Linked DNA regions of Ovis aries. The protein of the gene in region 2 interacts with the protein of the main gene of each other region in a pairwise test. Links are inferred from orthologs where the notes say so. Each region holds a gene or a part of one and is shown on either strand. Other genes may lie near its edges.

Region 1 (3,953 bases), about 28 Mb from region 2:
AGAAACACCAGGAAACTACAGACACAGAAACCAGGGAAAGTCTAAACATCCTGGCCTGAGGAAGCGTAGACCTGGGAGCTGCCGTGGGTTTGGTCAGTCCTGGGAACTCTAAAGCAGCGGTATCACAATGTGCTACGCCTACTCGTAGTGTTCGGTTATTCTCTTTCTCTGTTCTAATTTTCCTCACCACCTGACTCCAGCTTATTTATTTTGTACAGCCAGAACCATCTGCCAAACCCATCGCTTACTTGGCTCTCAGGATTTCCTTGTTTGAACTCTCCAAGAGGGAATCTAATTGGCCAGATCAGCTTTACAAACTGGACAAGGGTCTCGGGCCCGTCTATGGATTGGCTGCGCTTGATCAGATGTCTTTCCGTGGCCCAATCAGCTGGGGCTGAGGGAGACAGGCCGCCCACAGCAGCTCCGCGCTGAGTCCAGTGGTGGGGGCAGTTTGCCTTACAAGGGACTTTGAACTTTGTACCTACAAGAGGAACCTGAGAAAACGATTCAGAGATGGAACCAAAAGGTGCATTAAAGAGCTTTTATAGCACACGTGCGCGCGCGCGCGCGCGCGCACACACACACACACACACACACACACACACACACACACACACACTTTGAAACCCCTGTAAGCATGATCAATTCTAGGCTGTTGAGGTGCGGAACGAGCAGCTAATTCAAGATTTTCTCTGGGAAAACGAAATAATATGCCATAAGACCTCATATACACTGTGATCAGGGTTTTCTAGGACAAGACTGTACGTGTTGAGTTTTTGCCCTGTACAGGAAAGTTAACGGCTGAGTGGTGCGGCACATGGCTATCAAAAGTTCTTTAATGAACAGATATTCTGGTTATAATGAAGGTAAACACCAAGCGTTTGTTAGCATCCACGTTCCTTCACCCTAACTGGGCCCGCGCCCCCTCCCCATGCCTTCCTCTCCCGTCCGGAAAAGTGCACTTTTCTGGCAGGTTCGCGGCCCTTACCACCCACGGGTCTGCCAGCGGGAGAGGGCCGGCACCCAGCTCGCGGCGCCAGTGCGCCCCCGCGCGGCCGGGCCGGGTTCCTCCACCACTTCCGGGTCCTCCACGCCCCGCCCCGCCCCGCCCCGCCCCGCCCCGCAAGTGCGGCCCTCCAGTCTCTTCCCCGGCCCTGCAGGCAGCGCGGGCCCTCGAGTCCCCGCTCGACCCTGCCCGCCATTGCAGCCTTCTAGCTGCGGGGACTCCTCCCCGCGCGCGCTCTCGAGTAGCCATGGCTCCGCTCCGCTTCTCGGCCAACCTGTCGTGGCTGTTCCCGGAGCTGTCGGGCTTTCCCGCGCGGCTCCGGGCCGCGGGCAGTTCGGGCTTCGAAGCAGCCGAGATCGGCTGGCCGTATGCGGAGCCGCCGGAGGCGCTGGCGCGCGCAGCGCGGGAAGCCGGGCTACGGGTGGTGCTAATCAACACGCCCCCAGGTGCGCAGGGAGGGCCCAGGCCGGGACAGGGTGGGGCAGTGGGGAAGGAGCAGGGAGCTGAGGCCCATTCTTTCCGCAGGAGACAGAGAGAAGGGGGAGAATGGGCTGGGGGCTGTTCCCGGGAGGCAGGCGGCCTTCCGAGAAGGGCTGGAGCAGGCGGTGCTGTACGCTAAGGCTCTGGGCTGTTCCAGGTAACCTCCCCTCTCCATTCCCCCGCCCCCATAATCCGCGAGAGAAGAGGCTCAGGGGTACTCCCGTCTCTGCCTCTTTAGTCCTGGTCCCTTGTAAATTGCCTTTTTGCATTTCATCTGTGTGTACGTCACTCTCAGTTTGCAACTCTTTCTTGCTCACCTCATGCTGAGAACTCAGTATGACCTGGGACATAACCCAGTCAGTTCAAGGAGACTCTGGGAGCAGAGAAAGCTTCATAACAGGTAGTGATGTTGAACTGGGTCTCCGGGGTGGGTGCTTGCTTGACCAAAGGAGCATTCCAGGCAGCGGTGCAGTAGCCACACGCCCCCGGGGCTTGGTGTATTCTGCAGAGATTATGAGGCTGGAGGTGAAGTCTGTCTGCTTTGGAGGTGACTGAGAAAGATGAGGTGGCGAAGGGAGAAGGTGGGGGACTCAGAGTGGGGCTGATAAGGTGAATGTCAAATCCTGCACAGGGCAACCAGACTGCGAAGGAACTGGCAACAAGCAGTTATGGGGCAGAGGGAGGAGTGTGTGTGCAGAAAACAGATGGGAAGCAGCTAAGAAACAGATGCAAGGAGGAGAGACAAGCAGCGTGGAATACCTGAGCATAAGGGTCAAAGTAATTTTTTAAAGGTGAGGCTTGAGGAGAAGGGCCATGGAAAAGGAGAATCTGGATGTACAGGAGGGGCTGCGTGAGGGCCTGTGGTCTCTGAAGCAGGAGGATGGTGGGCCTTCAGAAGGAATCTGGGAAAAGCCTCGGTCTTAGGTTGACACAAGTGTCTGAGGGCGCCGGGAGGCCTGAGCACCACAGCCAGGTGGTCTCACTGGGGACCTGGGGAGACGGGAGGCTGGTGCAGTCGGAGGGCAGCTGGAAGAGAAGTACCCAGCGAGCATGGGTGTGAAGGCTTCTTTGGTGAGGATGGACTCCACAGCCCCCCTCCAGCCCCATTTTCCCCACAGGATTCACCTGATGGCTGGCCGAGTGCCCAAGGGGGCTGACAGAACCGCGGTCAGGGGTGAAATGGAGGTAGTTTTCCTGGAGAACCTCAGGCACGCAGCTGAGGTTTTGGCTCAGGTGAGACAGTGAAAGGGGCTTCTCAGATGGCACAGTGGTAAAGAATCCGCCTCCCAATGCAGGAGATGCGGGTTTGATCCCTGGGTCAGGAACGTCCTCTGGAGGAGGAAATGGCAACCCACTCCAGTATTCTTGCCCAGGTAATCCCATGGACAGAGGAGCATGGGGTCGCATAGAGTTGGACATGGCTGAGCACCCACATGAGACAGTGAAAACACATACAGACACACATACTTCATGTATGTATGTGGAGGGGAAGCACAGTAGGGAGCGCAGTGAGGCACAAGGCTGGGCCCTGGCCGAGGCCAGAAGGGCTGGGGATCGGCTTGAGCAGTGACTGACTGAGGGGGTCGAACTTGGGGAGAGCTCTACTCATAGATCTGGCCTGGTGCTAGGAGAACCTCGTGGGACTGCTGGAGCCCATAAACACCCGCATCACGGACCCCCGGTATTTCCTGGACACGCCCCAGCAGGGTAGGCCCCCAACCCCCGGCCGCCTCCTGTCCATTGATTCTCCAGCCCTCCTTGAGTCTCACGACCCCTCTCCCTGGTTTCTCTCCCAGCGGCAGCCATCTTACAGAAGGTGGGAAGACCCAACCTCCAGCTACAGATGGTAAGTGGGGGAGAGGGTGTGCTTCTCAGAGGGCCGTGTTCTCCAAATCCAGGGACAGTGGTGTGGGCTGCAGGGTCTCTGACTGGGGCATCTCTGCCCTAGGACTTATTCCACTGGCAGATCATGGACGGGAACCTGACAGGGAACGTGCGAGAGTTCCTGCCCATTGTTGGTGAGGGCCCCTTTCTCGGCTTCTTCCTGGCCTGCCATGAGGCTTCCCCTGTCCTTCCACTCTCTCTACCCCCAACATCTACCCCCAGGGCACGTGCAGGTGGCACAGGTCCCCGGTCGGGGGGAACCCGACAGCCCCGGAGAGCTCAACTTCTCATATCTGTTCCAACTGCTGGAAGATGAAGGCTACACAGGCTTCGTGGGCTGCGAGTACCAGCCTCGAGGTGAGGGTGGGCTGAGCCTGGCCCCAGGGAAGGGCCTCTGGAGGGACACTGTCGACAGGGGCTGTCTTCCTCCTCATGGCCTGAGAGGCCGCGCGCCCGCTCCCCTCAGGAGACACAGCAGAGGGCCTGAGTTGGCTGCGTTCATACTGGGAGATGAGGGGCCGCCCGCAGGCTGGCCAGTGAGGTCCTGCGCTCCAGCCACATGCCTCTGGGACGGTGAGCAGCA
Region 2 (2,395 bases):
TATTCTAGCCTCCTGACCATAAGTGTGTGCCTTTATTTCTGGACTCTTACTCTGTTTCATTGATTGATGTGTCTGTTTTTGTGCCTGTACCGTACTGTTTTGATTACTATAGCTTTGTAATATAGTCTGAAGCCAGGGAATGTGATTCCTCCAGCTCTTGGTTCTTTCTGTCAAGATTGTTTTGGCTATTCAAGGTTGTTTTTGTTTCTATACAAATTTTAAAATTGTTCTAATTCTGCAGGAAGTGCCATTGGTATTTTGATATGGATTGCATTGAATCTTTAGATTACCTTGGGTGGTGTAGTCATTTTAACAGTATTGGTACTTCCAGTCCAAGAACACAGCAAAGCTTTCCATCTGTTTGTATTGTAGAAGCAGGAGTTTTTAAAAAGTCAATTTAAAGAGAAGGAGGTATATCTTAAAAAGCTAATTGCTCAAAATAGGGATTGGATTAGGGGCATGATTTGCTGGACAACAGGAAGTCAGTTTGATCCCCGTTTCCTGATGGCTCAGTGGTAAAGAATCAGCCTGCAGTTCAGGAGAGGTGTGTTTGATCCCTGGGTCGGGAGATCCCCTGGAGAAGGAAATGGCAACCCACATCAGTATTCTTGCCTGGGAAATCCCATGGATAGAGGAGCCTGGTGGGTTTACAGTCCTTGGGGTTGCAAAAGAGTCAGACATAACTTGGCAACTAAACCACCACCACCATTAACTCTAGTTCTCGGTTCTCTGTTTTACCTGATGATTTAGAAGTAGTTTTGAATTTCATTAGCAACTGCCTTCCATAACACAACACATTAATCCTTTACATGTTCTGTCCTTTGAATCTAAAGCTGGTTCTTTGAATAATAATTTACTTCAGACTTGAATTAGCACCTTTGTTGATCAGTTTTTCCTTGAGCTTAACATTTCTGATGTTTTGATGACATCATGTCTTTAAGAATTGCTAGAAATTAGGGCTTTCCTAAGGGCATTAAAGGAAAGGCACATAGTTTACCCCCAAAAAGTTGCCGACTTTTATTACCCATTTGCTTCTTCAGCTCCAAACAATATTTGAAAATGGAGTTTTCTGTTTCTATTGGAGTTCCATTGTAGACATTTCTGGTATGATGTGCCTGCATTTTTTGAATAACACTGTATTTTAAAGTCTAGTTTGCACATTTGTTCTTCTAGAGAGAGACGACGACGAAGAAGCAGAAGTGGTACAAGATCTCCTAAAAAGCCTAGGTCTCCCAAAAGAAAATTGTCTCGTTCACCATCCCCTAGAAGGTAAGTATTAATCTTTTATTAGATCTATCCTGTTTTTCAGAAACTGTCCTAGGATTTTTCTTCCTTCTCAGGAATTAAAATACTTAAGAATGTGCTGATACATTCTCTTCATGACTTGAGATTGTTAAAATAAACACTGTTTATGATTAGGCATTTTAGACCTGTAATCTCCTTATAGCAGTGAACTTAACATCAAGCTTACCATCTAAAACAAATTTAAACTTATTGCTGTTTAAATAATGGCAAAAATTCTTGAGCACTTTGTTTCAAGCATCTTGTGAGCATTTTACTGTCATCCTAGACATAAAAAGGAGAAGAAGAAAGATAAAGACAAAGAAAGAAGCAGAGATGAAAGAGAGCGATCCACAAGCAAGAAGAAGAAAAGTAAAGATAAGGAAAAGGAACGGGAAAGAAAATCAGAGAGTGATAAAGATGTAAAAGTATGTTTACAAACTAATATATTCTGGTGTTTTAGTTGATGTTGGTACTTTAAAGAAGTAATTTTTCTGTGAAGACGTTTACTTTTCTTATTCTCCTTGGCAAAGCAGGTTACACGGGACTACGATGAAGAGGAACAGGGGTATGACAGCGAGAAGGAGAAAAAGGAGGAGAAGAAACCAGCAGAACCAGGTTCTCCTAAAACAAAAGAATGTTCTGTGGAAAAGGGAACTGGTGATTCACTAAGAGAATCTAAAGTGAATGGGGATGATCATCATGAAGAAGACATGGATATGAGTGACTGAACCATGCCTCTGTGGGAATCTAACTGTGTACATGCATCAGTGTCATTCCTGTGTGATTTCTTAATGCTGTATTTGTTCATCTCAAACCTAGATGTATACAGCTCTGAGTCATAAATGGTTATAAAGCTCCTGATGTTGATATTAGTTATTTACATCCAAAAGCTTTTAGGAAAATGATACAGGGGTAACCAATTCGTGACAGGGTGAAATCTGATTGAGTAACCAAGCAGTTTTACTATCCTGGTGCTGCTTCATAACAAAAATGAAAAGCTGCATGCATCTACAGCAGGCATGGATTGTTTATGTTGTATGATCTCCTTTATTAAGTAAGTTCACTTATAGTATTTCTAGAATTTGATTCATTGCCGTAATAGAGCCATGTA
Region 3 (3,519 bases), on a different chromosome or scaffold from region 2:
ATACCTCTCACCTAGATGTTACACTTGGCTCTTCTTCCAGTAACTCCTCTAGTAACTTGTTATATCAATGAATGCTGAGCTACTGCTAACTTTATCATTCTGAAATTCAGGTCTGTTACCTTTTTTTTGCTCATAATCTTTTTAAGTTTAAAGCTTCTTACAGTTTGACCCCAAATTCTTGGCTTAAATATAGTGTGTCTCAGTCTTTTGTTAAGATTGTTGCTATAAGACTGTAATACCTTACAGTACTTGTCATAGGTAAATGCATAACTTCATGAAGACAGCCTTTATGTCTCTGTTGCTGCCATAACTCCCATGCTTAGTACAGTACCTGGCTTTCAATTTATTCACCAAATATTTATTGAAAACTTGCTTACATCAGTCAGGGTCCAGGTGGAACAACAGAAATCACACAAGAATTTTAACAGAGATAACAAGAAATCAGAGAGGTTGAAGAATTGAAAAAAGCAAAAGCGGAACCCAGAAAGCTGCTTCTCCTAGAACTGGGGCATACGGGATGGGGGTTACAGTTCGCAGAGCCAACAGTGTTGGTGGAGGAGCCCCGTGAGCTGGGCCTCAGGGGAGGGCCCCCTGTGATGGATGCTGGTACCTCTGGGGGCTGCAGGGAGGCTGTGCTGCCAGTGTCTGGAATCTGGAGACTGGAGTCACCTGCTGCCAGCAGCATGAAGGGCTGGCCCCAGGCAGTACTGGCAGGAGCAGGAAGCAGACAGGAAGGGGCAGGCCCTGGCACGTCCTCCTCGCGAGGGGTCCTGACCAGAAAGCCATGGCAGAAGAGGGCTCACCACAGAGGGTGGGCTTGGAAGGCACGGACAGTCTGTGACGCTTGCTGGCCTCTCTTCTCTTCAGTGTGCCCACAGGCTTCTTTCTTCATATTTCTTCACATTTGTTGACGCGCAACAAATATTTTCTGGTAAGGGAACCATAGTAAGTACGTTCAGCTTTACTAGCCAGTATATACAGAGACCTTGAGAGGCTTCCGGGCAGAAATGAGCTTGAGAGGCCTGAGAGACAGGACCTCGGTGAGGGCAGATGAGACAGAATGTGGCTGCAGATGCACTGGGGGGTGACATTGGAAGGGCTGTCAGGCCAGGTAGTCTGTGGCCTTGTGGACAGGGTAAGGGGTTGGGGGTCTGAGTTGTGGGATTAACAAAAGGGTTTCAGTGCTTGCTGTGTGGAGGGCAAATAGAAGGGCAAGAGTAGATGGTGGTCATAGTAGCCTTAGCAGGAGGGAGCAGTGGTCATGTGTTGGTCATATGGATCATGGTAAGAACACCGAGTAAGCACTTAACTGTACTTGCTGGAAAGAAATTCTTTTCCAAAAGTTATACTCCAAAGCTCCTCCCTTTTGTCCTATGTTTCAGCTAAACTAAATTCATTTGCTTAATTTTTTCTATCCCATTGCCTGATTTTTATGCTTTTATAGCTGTAATCATTGAATTTTTGTAATTCTTCAAAAGTTGTATTTTCTGGTATTGTGCTTGATTAGTGGTATGGCTCTTTGTGTGTGTGTGATGTCCTGGTGACTGTGATTCTGAACGGAGACATTGGCAGCCTGTGTGTGTGCGGCTGAGGTTTCTCTCCCCCATCATGGCTGTTCTGAGCATCACGGTGTCAGACCAGAGCTTTTCATGACAGGTTCCGGTTAAGACGCTTTGGTAACAAATATGCTCTTCCCTCATTTTCTTTGGTAGAGGAAAGGGTCCACTTAAAACACTAAACTCATTTTGGTCAAGAAAAAAAAATTAGGAATGTGAGGCCTGGTACCTAACGGAGTCCCTAGTACAGCTATTCTCCATACAGTTGGTTAATCCACAGATGTTTACCAAAGGGATGAAAAATAACATTTGTCTTGTGTGTGTCAGCACTTGACTAGTAGGTGCTTTTAGTCCTTGTAGTGGAGCTGTGAGGTAAGAAGTTTGCCTCTGTAATAAAAACTCTGAAAGGGTAAGTACATTGTTGAAGGCCATATAAAAGAACCCTCAGGAAGATGCTGTGTGAGTTTAAAAGTAAAGTACAGCCTTTATAAAGTTCAAGGATAATATATTTGAGTTGAAAACAAGCCAGGGTACACATAAAACAAATGCCAGTGAATTCATCGGGCAACAGAGTCATTGAGTCTGCTGGAGATGGTGTCTGGGGGGGTAAATTACCTGCAGAATTAGTTTTAAAAAACAAAATAGGGTCATTTTTGCAAAACTCATATCTGAAGGAAATAATCGGCAGATTACATTTTAGGAAACCACAACAGAATATGTTCAATTTTGGATTTTCTCAGGGCGCGTGTTTGCGAATACTGACGTGTTGCATGTGTCTTTGGCAGCAGTTGGTGGCACGGCCTTCCAGCATGGACCACATGGTGGCCCCTGTCACTGGTGGCGACACTGGGATCCGCAGAGCAGAGATCAAGCAAGGGATCCGAGAAGTCATCTTGTGTAAGGATCAAGACGGGAAGATTGGGCTCCGGCTGAAATCCATAGACAATGTAAGTGCTTTCAGTACACTTGTCTGATTAGCTGTTATGTGACCCAGTTACAATTTAAAATGTAAATGCTTTAATGAAGTGTAATGGTGCTCTCTGATCAAGACTACTTTTAATCTGCTTTTCCACGTGAGATGCTACCCTGTTCTGAAGAGGCAGAGCTGGGACTTGAGCATTACCATGGATGAATTTTTTCTGAGTCCTTTTTCTGGAATAAAGTTCACTAGTCTGCGTGTATTATAACATAGTTCATACAAGGAGAATGCTGGCATTGAAATAGGGTAACGTGTGGAAGTTAAGACTGATAGGTGAGGGTCAGTGGTCTTGTGTATTTTTAAACTTAAAGACGATCATGTGACTTGTAATGTGGTTTGGGGTTTGTTATTTCCATCCTTGAATTTGACTTTCATGGGGCATTTTCCAGGCAACAGTGACTTTCTAAAGTACATTACTTCACCTCTCACCTTACCAGATGGAAGAAATGAAACCTGGTTACTCTGTGGGGAAGCACTTAGGATCACTAAGGAGGTGCTGAGTCTTTACCCTGATTTGTGGGTTTCCAGGTTATTTATTGGGCTTCTTTTCAGTCTTCGGTCTCATAGCTCAGCGCATCCAGCCTTTGCATGTAGAAGATGTGGCGCCTGGCGGAAGATGTTTGAGGCCAGTCCGGGCCCTACCTGCCTCCCCAGAGGCTGAGGGCATTGTGTCTTTGCACACTTGTGGCTTGTGTGAGACCCTCATTGAGTGTGCTGCTCTGGGAAGCTCGCACTTCCCTGCCCTCTCTACATCCTAGAGAGAGACCACACTCTCCGCAGCTCCACCCCTGCAGCAGTTATCCTTGCAGTGGTTTGTCCAGTGGCCGAAGCTTGTAGGTGTAGCCACTCTGCTGGGTGCCGTCCTCAAGTACAGGATACGCAGCACCAAATCTGAGTACAGGCTACGCAGCACCAAATCTGGGGCAGCTCAGGACGGAGAAGGGGTGCGACCTGTGGTTGCTTTCATCTCTTACTGGCACATGC
Region 4 (3,519 bases), on a different chromosome or scaffold from region 2:
ATAAATAAGAGGTTAGCTAGGAGCCCCAGGCAAAAACGGTCCCCCAGAATTGCGTGTATGAAGGCAGTCTGGACGGGGGCTCTTGAGTCTTTCACTGCTGTCCTGCTAAGGAGGTTCCGTGGCTCCAGAAAGCCTTTGTTTCCATGAAGGGAGACTGGAGTCCAGTTCGGGCTCCTGGGCAGGGAAGAGGGTTATTTACAGTTGCTGCACAGGCCCTCCCAGGGCACCTGCCCCTGCCCCAGGCACCTGCCATCAGGCCTCCAGTGACCGCGCTGGCATCCGTTGGTCCTGGCGGGCGGGGCCCAGTTCTGGGCCAGCGGGTGCCATGGAGAGGCTCGGTCCCCCGCTGCTGCCCCGGGGCCTGGCTCCCCTCTCCTGCTGGAGGGAGGACGTCACTGCTTCTCAGAAACAGGATTTTTTTTCCCCCAAATGTTTCCCCTCCTCAGGGCACAAGGGATAAAGAATATTTGGTTCTCTGCTTCCCAGAGCCCCAGGTTCCAAAGCTGGGCGCTGTCCCTCTCACCCTCTCCCTGCACGCCCTGCCCTGCTGCTGTTGCCACCACAAACTGGAACCTCACCGCAAGGCTCCGGAAAGCCAGTCAGCTGGTGAGGGGGATGCCCCAGAGTTTATTTTAAGGATCTTCTCCCTCATGCCCCTGTTCTTAGTGCCCTCTGTGGGTGAAGCAGCTGGTGGTATTTGTGTGCTGCAGATCAGCTTACCTTCACTGCCCAGCCCTGGGGGGTGCTGGGGGTAAGTGGGGTGAGGGCAGAAACGAGGGTGGGCTTCTCTCAAGCTGGTAAGAGCTCTGGAAACCAGCAGGAGCTTCGGAGCATCTAACCTCCTTTCCCCCAGACTCTCTGGATTTGGATCTTTTCCCCAAACCTGGGCTGCTGTGCCCCATCCTGGCAAAATTCCCGAGGGGCAAAATGGGTGCCTCAGGCTGAGGGTGGTAGGTGGGTGAGAAGGTGCTTGGCTGCACTGGGTAGGATCCAGGGTGCCCTTTCTGGGCAGTGGGGAGGGGGCAGGCAGGCGCCAACTAGAGGGTAAGGCCAGACTGGCTGGCGCTGGGGACTGGCAGCTGGCCACAGCACTGGGGAATGTTCAGCAGATGGTCCCGTGGAACTAAGCTGTTGCCAGCTACTGGGGCCGAGGCAAACTTGGGAAGTGGGGTTGCAGACCCAGCTGTCCTGACTGTCCGTTGTGTCCTTTCTCAGAGGTCGCAGGGTCCCTGTGAGCCACCACGAGGCATTTTGTGTAAATGGCGTGGTGACCTCTCCATGGCTAGAAACTACTGGGCCCCTCTTCCCGACCACAAGGAGATACTGGGAGCAGTGGGCTTATCCACCCTCGTTCTTGCTTCTAGACTCATGACAGAGAGTTCATCTCCTAGCTCCTGACACCTACTACCAAGTGAAATGTCCATGTCCCCTAGTCACGTGTCCCCCTTTCTAGGACCCAATAGCCTTTCAGCACTTGCTCTGGCCTATGTGGGGAGCTAAAACTCCTGATCCCCTCTCCTGGACCTGAATCACCCTGCTCTCTTCTAATATCCACCCCTCACCCCATGGGATCCACGGGGGTCCATATACATGTAGCCACGAGATTGGGTGAGAGGAGAATGAGGGCAGATGTGATAAATACCGCTGGTCTTCGGTGTGCAGCCTGGCAGCAGTGGGTTAGCAGAACTCTCTCCACATTTTCCTGGCCAGACCCAAACTTCTGAGTCATGGACTCACCGCTCCTTATAAACCATTGAGGCTTTTCTGTGCCAAAAGAAGGTAGTCTTCTCCACATGCTCAGGCCTGAGCTGAGCCCCAGCAGGTGTGGTGGAGGCTCCCAGTAGCTCCACATGGAGACTGAAGCCCCCACACCCTCCTTTCCTCTTCCCCAGGAGAGCAGGAAGGACAGGGCCTGGGAGCCCTCAGTGCTGTCTGTCACCAAGGAGAAGGCAGGGTGGTCGGGGAGTGGGGGAGGCTGCCAGAGTGAAAGGGGCTCCACAGGCAGTGGGCTCACGGGAGGGCCCTGGCTTAGCGCCTTGTGCTGGAGTAGCTGTCTGCTGAGCTGTAGCTCCCACTCCGACTTCGACTCCGGCTCCGGCTCCGGCTCCGGGAGCCCAGGCTGGGGCTGCGGGAGCTGCAGCTGCTGCTAGTGAGGGTCCTGCTCCGGCTGCGGCTGCGGCTGCGGCTCCGGGAGTAGCTTCGGCTGGCTGAGCGGCTGCTGCTGCTGCTGTACCAGGAGGAGGTGCTGCTGAGGCCGCTGGAAGAAGAGGGGCTGGGCCGGTAGTACGGGATGGGGCGTTTCCGGGCACTGCAGAGATCAGAGGGGGAAAGTGTCACGGCAGGACTCCTCCCAGCTGCAATCCCGGGAGCACAGGCATTGTCCTAGGAGACATGTCCCAGCTCCTTAGGGGGAAAAAAATTCCTGTTACTCTTCTCTTGCAGTCCTGAGAACATCAAGGAGGTGGTCTCAGTCTAGTGCTGATATGCTTTGAACAGTGATAATCTCGCTTTTTTAACATTTCAAGGCTGGGCTCAGAGAGAGCATCCAGCTGGCCCCAGAATCTACATCTCAACTTTAATCACAGTTTTGTTTTGCTATTTTTATTTTTACTAGAACCTTCTATCTATGGCAAAAGAGCTTGATTTTTCTATTTATTGTAGTGTATCAAGTTTCGTTTTGAAATAAATGTATGGACCTAAAAAAAAAAAGGCGTATCTATTCAAAGAAATTTAAGTAAGCAGTACACTTAATCAGACAAGGCAAAAGTGGTGGGTGATGGAAGCCTGGAAAACACCGAATGGATTCACTCAGGTGGGTTATTTGGGGTTGAGTACAGAACCCAGAGAGCCTTTGGAAACACCACTCCCTTTTTCTTAGACTTCCTCCAAGTCCACTCCAAGGATACCTCTGAAAGTCAAGGCAGAGAGTGTAGGACTCCCACCGCATGTCTCAGGCCAAGGCAGGCTGTTCAGTGAGACGTCTGAGACATGACACCATTACCTTGCCTTACCGTCTGGGGCACAAGCTCTTTTTTCTCCTTCAGGTCATCTCTAGTGAAGAGGCATGGGCAGCCAGGGTTCTCCTTTCCTTGTGGGTCTCTGGACTGAGGAGCTGACCCTTGGAGGACCAGGAGGAAGACCCACCAATTTTCAAACGCCGCTTTTAGGGCAGCATTCGGCCATTTTCTCCATGTCAAGGCCTGAGGATTCTCTTCTGGGGCTTTTCTCATCTGAGGCTTTACCTGTTGCAGAAATCTTTACCTACCAAGTCTGACCATCCAGTCCATCACAGTGGCACACAGTGGGCTTAGTGCTCTGCATTTAAGTGTGTAAATTGCACTCATATCTCTTTGCCCCTTTTCATTTTATCCTTTTGACACTTCTAGGAGTTATTTCCTCCAGCAGTTTATGGGTGAAAAAAAGATTCTGGGAGGTGAAGAGACTTTCCCAGCTCACCCGGAAAGTGGCACAGCCAAGATTCCTCTCCAAAATACTGGTCTTCCCCTTACCCACTAGCGC
Region 5 (3,519 bases), on a different chromosome or scaffold from region 2:
TAGGATTAACATACACATCACTCTATACAAAACAGATAATCAATAAAGATCTACTGTATAGCACAGGGAACTGTACTCAATATTCTATAATAACCTATATGGGAAAACACCCTGAAACAGAATGGATACATATAACTGAATCTCTTAGCTGTATACCTAAAACAACGTTATAAATCAGCTGTGGTGGTGTTTGGTCACTAAGTTGTGTCTGTCTCTTTGCGATCCCATGGACTGTATGTAGCCTGCCAGGCTCCTCTGCCTGTGGGATTCTTCAGGCAGGAATACTGGAGTGGATTGCCATTTCCTCCTCCAGGGGATCTTCCCAGCCCAGCAATCGAACTCACGTCTCCTGGACTGGCAGGCAGATTCTTTACTGCTGAGCCACCAGGGAAACTAAATCAACTATACTCCAATATAAAAGAAGAAACACAGGATACTAAAACCTAGTTTAGTATAGGTCAAAGGAATACCTGTCACTAAACAGCCACTGTTCTGTAGACTCCCAGAGATCTCTATTGTATACAAACCAGTATTCAATGACCGTGGGTCAGAGGGCTGTCATTTGGGGCAACAGCTCTGCTTTCCCTGGTGGGGTGGGAGCGGGGGCTCTTCCACTGTGTGTGCTGGCATGTACACACACCTGCTTGTTTGCGTTGTTTTATCTTCTGCAGAAGATTCAGAATAACGAAAATAACCTGTACTGTCCTAAAACATTAGGCCAATGCATGGGACTCCTCTCTACTGGAAGCTTTTTTACACATTAATGACCAGAGATGTAGTAACACCACAAGCGTTCCTTTGTGCAAAGTAACTTCTGTCAGTGTTCTGTTAAGTGCTTCTCATTGAGCTAAGAAACCAGAGCACATGAGCAGCTCTGTTCTGGCATGTTGTATGTTGCTCCCCATCCATAATGGAGGCACGGACCATGGTGTGGAGTTACAACAAAGATGAACAGGCTATAAAAAACCCTCACACTAATTTTTCTTGGTCTCTGTGTTGACAGTGCCCTTCATAGCTGCCATGACATAGTCTTGCGAAGAAGCTACTTGGGAAGCTGGGGCTTTAGTATCGTCGGTGGATACGAAGAGAACCATACCAATCAGCCTTTTTTCATAAAAACTATCGTCCTGGGGACCCCTGCTTATTACGACGGAAGATTAAAGTGAGTCTTATTGTGTTTAATGATGTGATTTGCATTTACTGTGATGGACACAAGGTCAGCTCCCAAGTCCAGCCTGTTGTCCATCCTTGTAAATAAAGTTTTATTGGAACATACCCATGCTCCCTTGTTTACCTATCTCCCCGGGCTGCTTCTGAGATGTGATGGCAGAGCCAAGTGGCCAGTCCCGAGACCAGTGACTCACAGAGCCCAGGCCCTCTGTCTACCTACCATTTGGCCCTTTACAGAGACAGATCTGCCAGGCCTGATCCAGACTGAAGCATCTTGGTACCACAGGTCAGTGCCTCTTGTGAGATTAACAGTAACGCAGAGTCATGTGGACACATCATGACCCAAAGCTTGCCCTGAGCACCTGAGTCCAGTCCTGTCAGTAGGTGACTTTTCTCTACAGCACTTATGTCAACGTAATGCTCAATTCACGCAAGTCCACATGGGAGGGATTTTGTTGCATTTTGTGTTAGATCCCTGGCAGGCAGCGTGGGGCCTTGCATTCGTAGTAAAGGTTTCATCAGTATTGATGGATGATGTGCGTGCCAGGCGTGGTGCTAGGTGCTGGCTATGGGTTACTGCACCTTCTTAGCAGCCTGCGAGGTAGGTGCTGCTGGTGTTCCTATTTTATAAGCAAGACACTGAGGATTCAGGTTAAAAAACTGCCTATAGTCAAATAGCTGGAAGTCGTTGACAGCAGTTAATCTAGGAGTCTTGGCCATTCAGCCCCTGCTGTTGTCACCACTGGGCAAAAAGTACCCTCTCAGCCTCTGTGCCACCTTTCTCAGAGCTCAGGCACCATGAGAAGAAAGAGGCATTCCATCAAGAGATTATACAGACAGAGGAGACGGGTGACTGTAAGTTCTTAGGACCTAGTTTTGGATGCAAGAAACAGTTCTTAAAAAGTAGATGCTGACATCCTAGTCAGAGTGCTGCACAAATCAGGGCATTTACATTTTGCAAACACAGAGCAACAGCTCGGGAATATCGAGGAAAATCCATCAGGGTCAGTGTGCTCCAGATCCCACTGTCACCTGGTAGAGATGAAAAAATCACTTCAGGAGCAAAGAGTGGGAGGCTGGGATGAAATAACCATTCTCTTAGCCAACTGTTCAGCCAGTCTGGGTCTCGTGTAAATTATAGACTAATTAACTTCCACTTCCTAAAAGAAGTTGAACTAGATCACAAGAAAGTAACATATTCATATTCAAAATAAAGACTAAAAATTATAAAAGATAGAAAGGTCTTCAGATTCACCATCCATTTGTGATAATTAAGCTGAAGGACAGTGAGCATCCTTGGCTGAAAGAGGTGTGGGTCTCATTTAGTTGAAGCCTCGAATGGACTGTAAAAAATCAACCATGAAAATAGCAGCCCCCTCCAAATTTATCATGTGGTATTTTTAAAGGAGGCAGCAGATTTATTCTGTTAACTATACATTGCTTAAGCTTCTCTGAAAATTACTCTGCTTTCCTTTGAAATCATCCACCAGTTACAGGAGAGGCTGGCACGGGGGTGTCCCCGGTTGACAAGGGAAAGCCAACATAGGCTTAAAAAATCACCCAGATATTTCTCAAAGAAAGTCACATAGCCTGATCATCAACAGTTAATGGGTAAGTGTACCAAACAAATCTCAGGACAACATTTCTGATACCGTGAAAACGGTGACTGTTTCTGTCTCTCGTTGTCCAGATGTGGAGACATGATCGTGGCTGTGAACGGCCTGTCGACCGTGGGCATGAGCCACTCGGCGCTGGTCCCCATGCTGAAGGAGCAGAGAAACAAAGTCACGCTGACCGTCATCTGTTGGCCTGGCAGCCTCGTGTAGATTTTGAATTTGATGTTAAGTCGAACAGCTTCCCTATTTTTTTAGGTCTTGGGAAGAAACCCCTTTGGTTTTGTCAAGTTTCTGTTAGGGCCTGCTGACGCAGCTGGGACACACAGGGCCAAACCCACCAGGCTTGTCCTTTTGTTATTAATATTTAAATGCCTCCTCCCCCTCAGTTTGTCACATTTCTCTCAGCTCAGAACGCGTCTTCCCCTAACCCTCGTGGGGTCACATTTTCAGAATCCAGGTTCTCAGTTGTCAGAATGTGAGCTGTAATAAAGAATGAAGTCTGCCCAAACTGTGAGCCAGCAGGCTGCATCAGGCGGCTTACAGTAGCTCTGTTTTAAGTAACTGAGTCATAAAATGAGTTCCATGTGCCCGAGACGGGCCAAGTGGGCTGTCACTTGGGTGGCCAGTGCCGTGAGTGGCCGCCTGCTCAGTGTGGAGAAGCTGCTCCCCATTTTCATCTGTGCCAACATTTCAAACAATACTGTTTAAAAGGTCATTTTTCTGGCTTATTTTG

What was found.
Region 1: the proteins of SRSF11 (region 2) and HYI interact in binary tests that used the Homo sapiens proteins (3 or more experiments, as listed by UniProt). The two-hybrid records come from large-scale screens. The link is inferred for Ovis aries from reciprocal best matches to the Homo sapiens genes SRSF11 and HYI.
Region 3: the proteins of SRSF11 (region 2) and SDCBP interact in binary tests that used the Homo sapiens proteins (3 or more experiments, as listed by UniProt). The two-hybrid records come from large-scale screens. The link is inferred for Ovis aries from reciprocal best matches to the Homo sapiens genes SRSF11 and SDCBP.
Region 4: the proteins of SRSF11 (region 2) and SRRM4 interact in binary tests that used the Homo sapiens proteins (3 or more experiments, as listed by UniProt). The link is inferred for Ovis aries from reciprocal best matches to the Homo sapiens genes SRSF11 and SRRM4.
Region 5: the proteins of SRSF11 (region 2) and LNX2 interact in a two-hybrid assay, tested with the Homo sapiens proteins (3 studies listed by BioGRID and IntAct). The link is inferred for Ovis aries from reciprocal best matches to the Homo sapiens genes SRSF11 and LNX2.

Annotation. Positions count from the first base shown.
Region 1 is NC_056054.1:18,121,512-18,125,464, reverse strand, and holds the start of HYI (putative hydroxypyruvate isomerase), read left to right. Parts: upstream 1-1,138; 5' UTR 1,139-1,253; coding exon 1,254-1,452; intron 1,453-1,531; coding exon 1,532-1,643; intron 1,644-2,604; coding exon 2,605-2,719; intron 2,720-3,114; coding exon 3,115-3,193; intron 3,194-3,282; coding exon 3,283-3,332; intron 3,333-3,434; coding exon 3,435-3,504; intron 3,505-3,592; coding exon 3,593-3,953. UniProt on the Homo sapiens protein: Catalyzes the reversible isomerization between hydroxypyruvate and 2-hydroxy-3-oxopropanoate (also termed tartronate semialdehyde).
Region 2 is NC_056054.1:46,060,728-46,063,122, forward strand, and holds part of SRSF11 (serine/arginine-rich splicing factor 11), read left to right. Parts: intron 1-1,152; coding exon 1,153-1,269; intron 1,270-1,570; coding exon 1,571-1,709; intron 1,710-1,814; coding exon 1,815-2,012; 3' UTR 2,013-2,395. UniProt on the Homo sapiens protein: May function in pre-mRNA splicing.
Region 3 is NC_056062.1:37,743,207-37,746,725, forward strand, and holds part of SDCBP (syntenin-1), read left to right. Parts: intron 1-2,341; coding exon 2,342-2,503; intron 2,504-3,519. UniProt on the Homo sapiens protein: Multifunctional adapter protein involved in diverse array of functions including trafficking of transmembrane proteins, neuro and immunomodulation, exosome biogenesis, and tumorigenesis.
Region 4 is NC_056070.1:56,187,103-56,190,621, forward strand, and holds part of SRRM4 (serine/arginine repetitive matrix protein 4), read right to left. Parts: intron 2,309-3,519; coding exon 2,029-2,308; 3' UTR 1-2,028. UniProt on the Homo sapiens protein: Splicing factor specifically required for neural cell differentiation.
Region 5 is NC_056063.1:32,686,235-32,689,753, forward strand, and holds part of LNX2 (ligand of Numb protein X 2), read left to right. Parts: intron 1-1,003; coding exon 1,004-1,162; intron 1,163-2,860; coding exon 2,861-2,996; 3' UTR 2,997-3,519.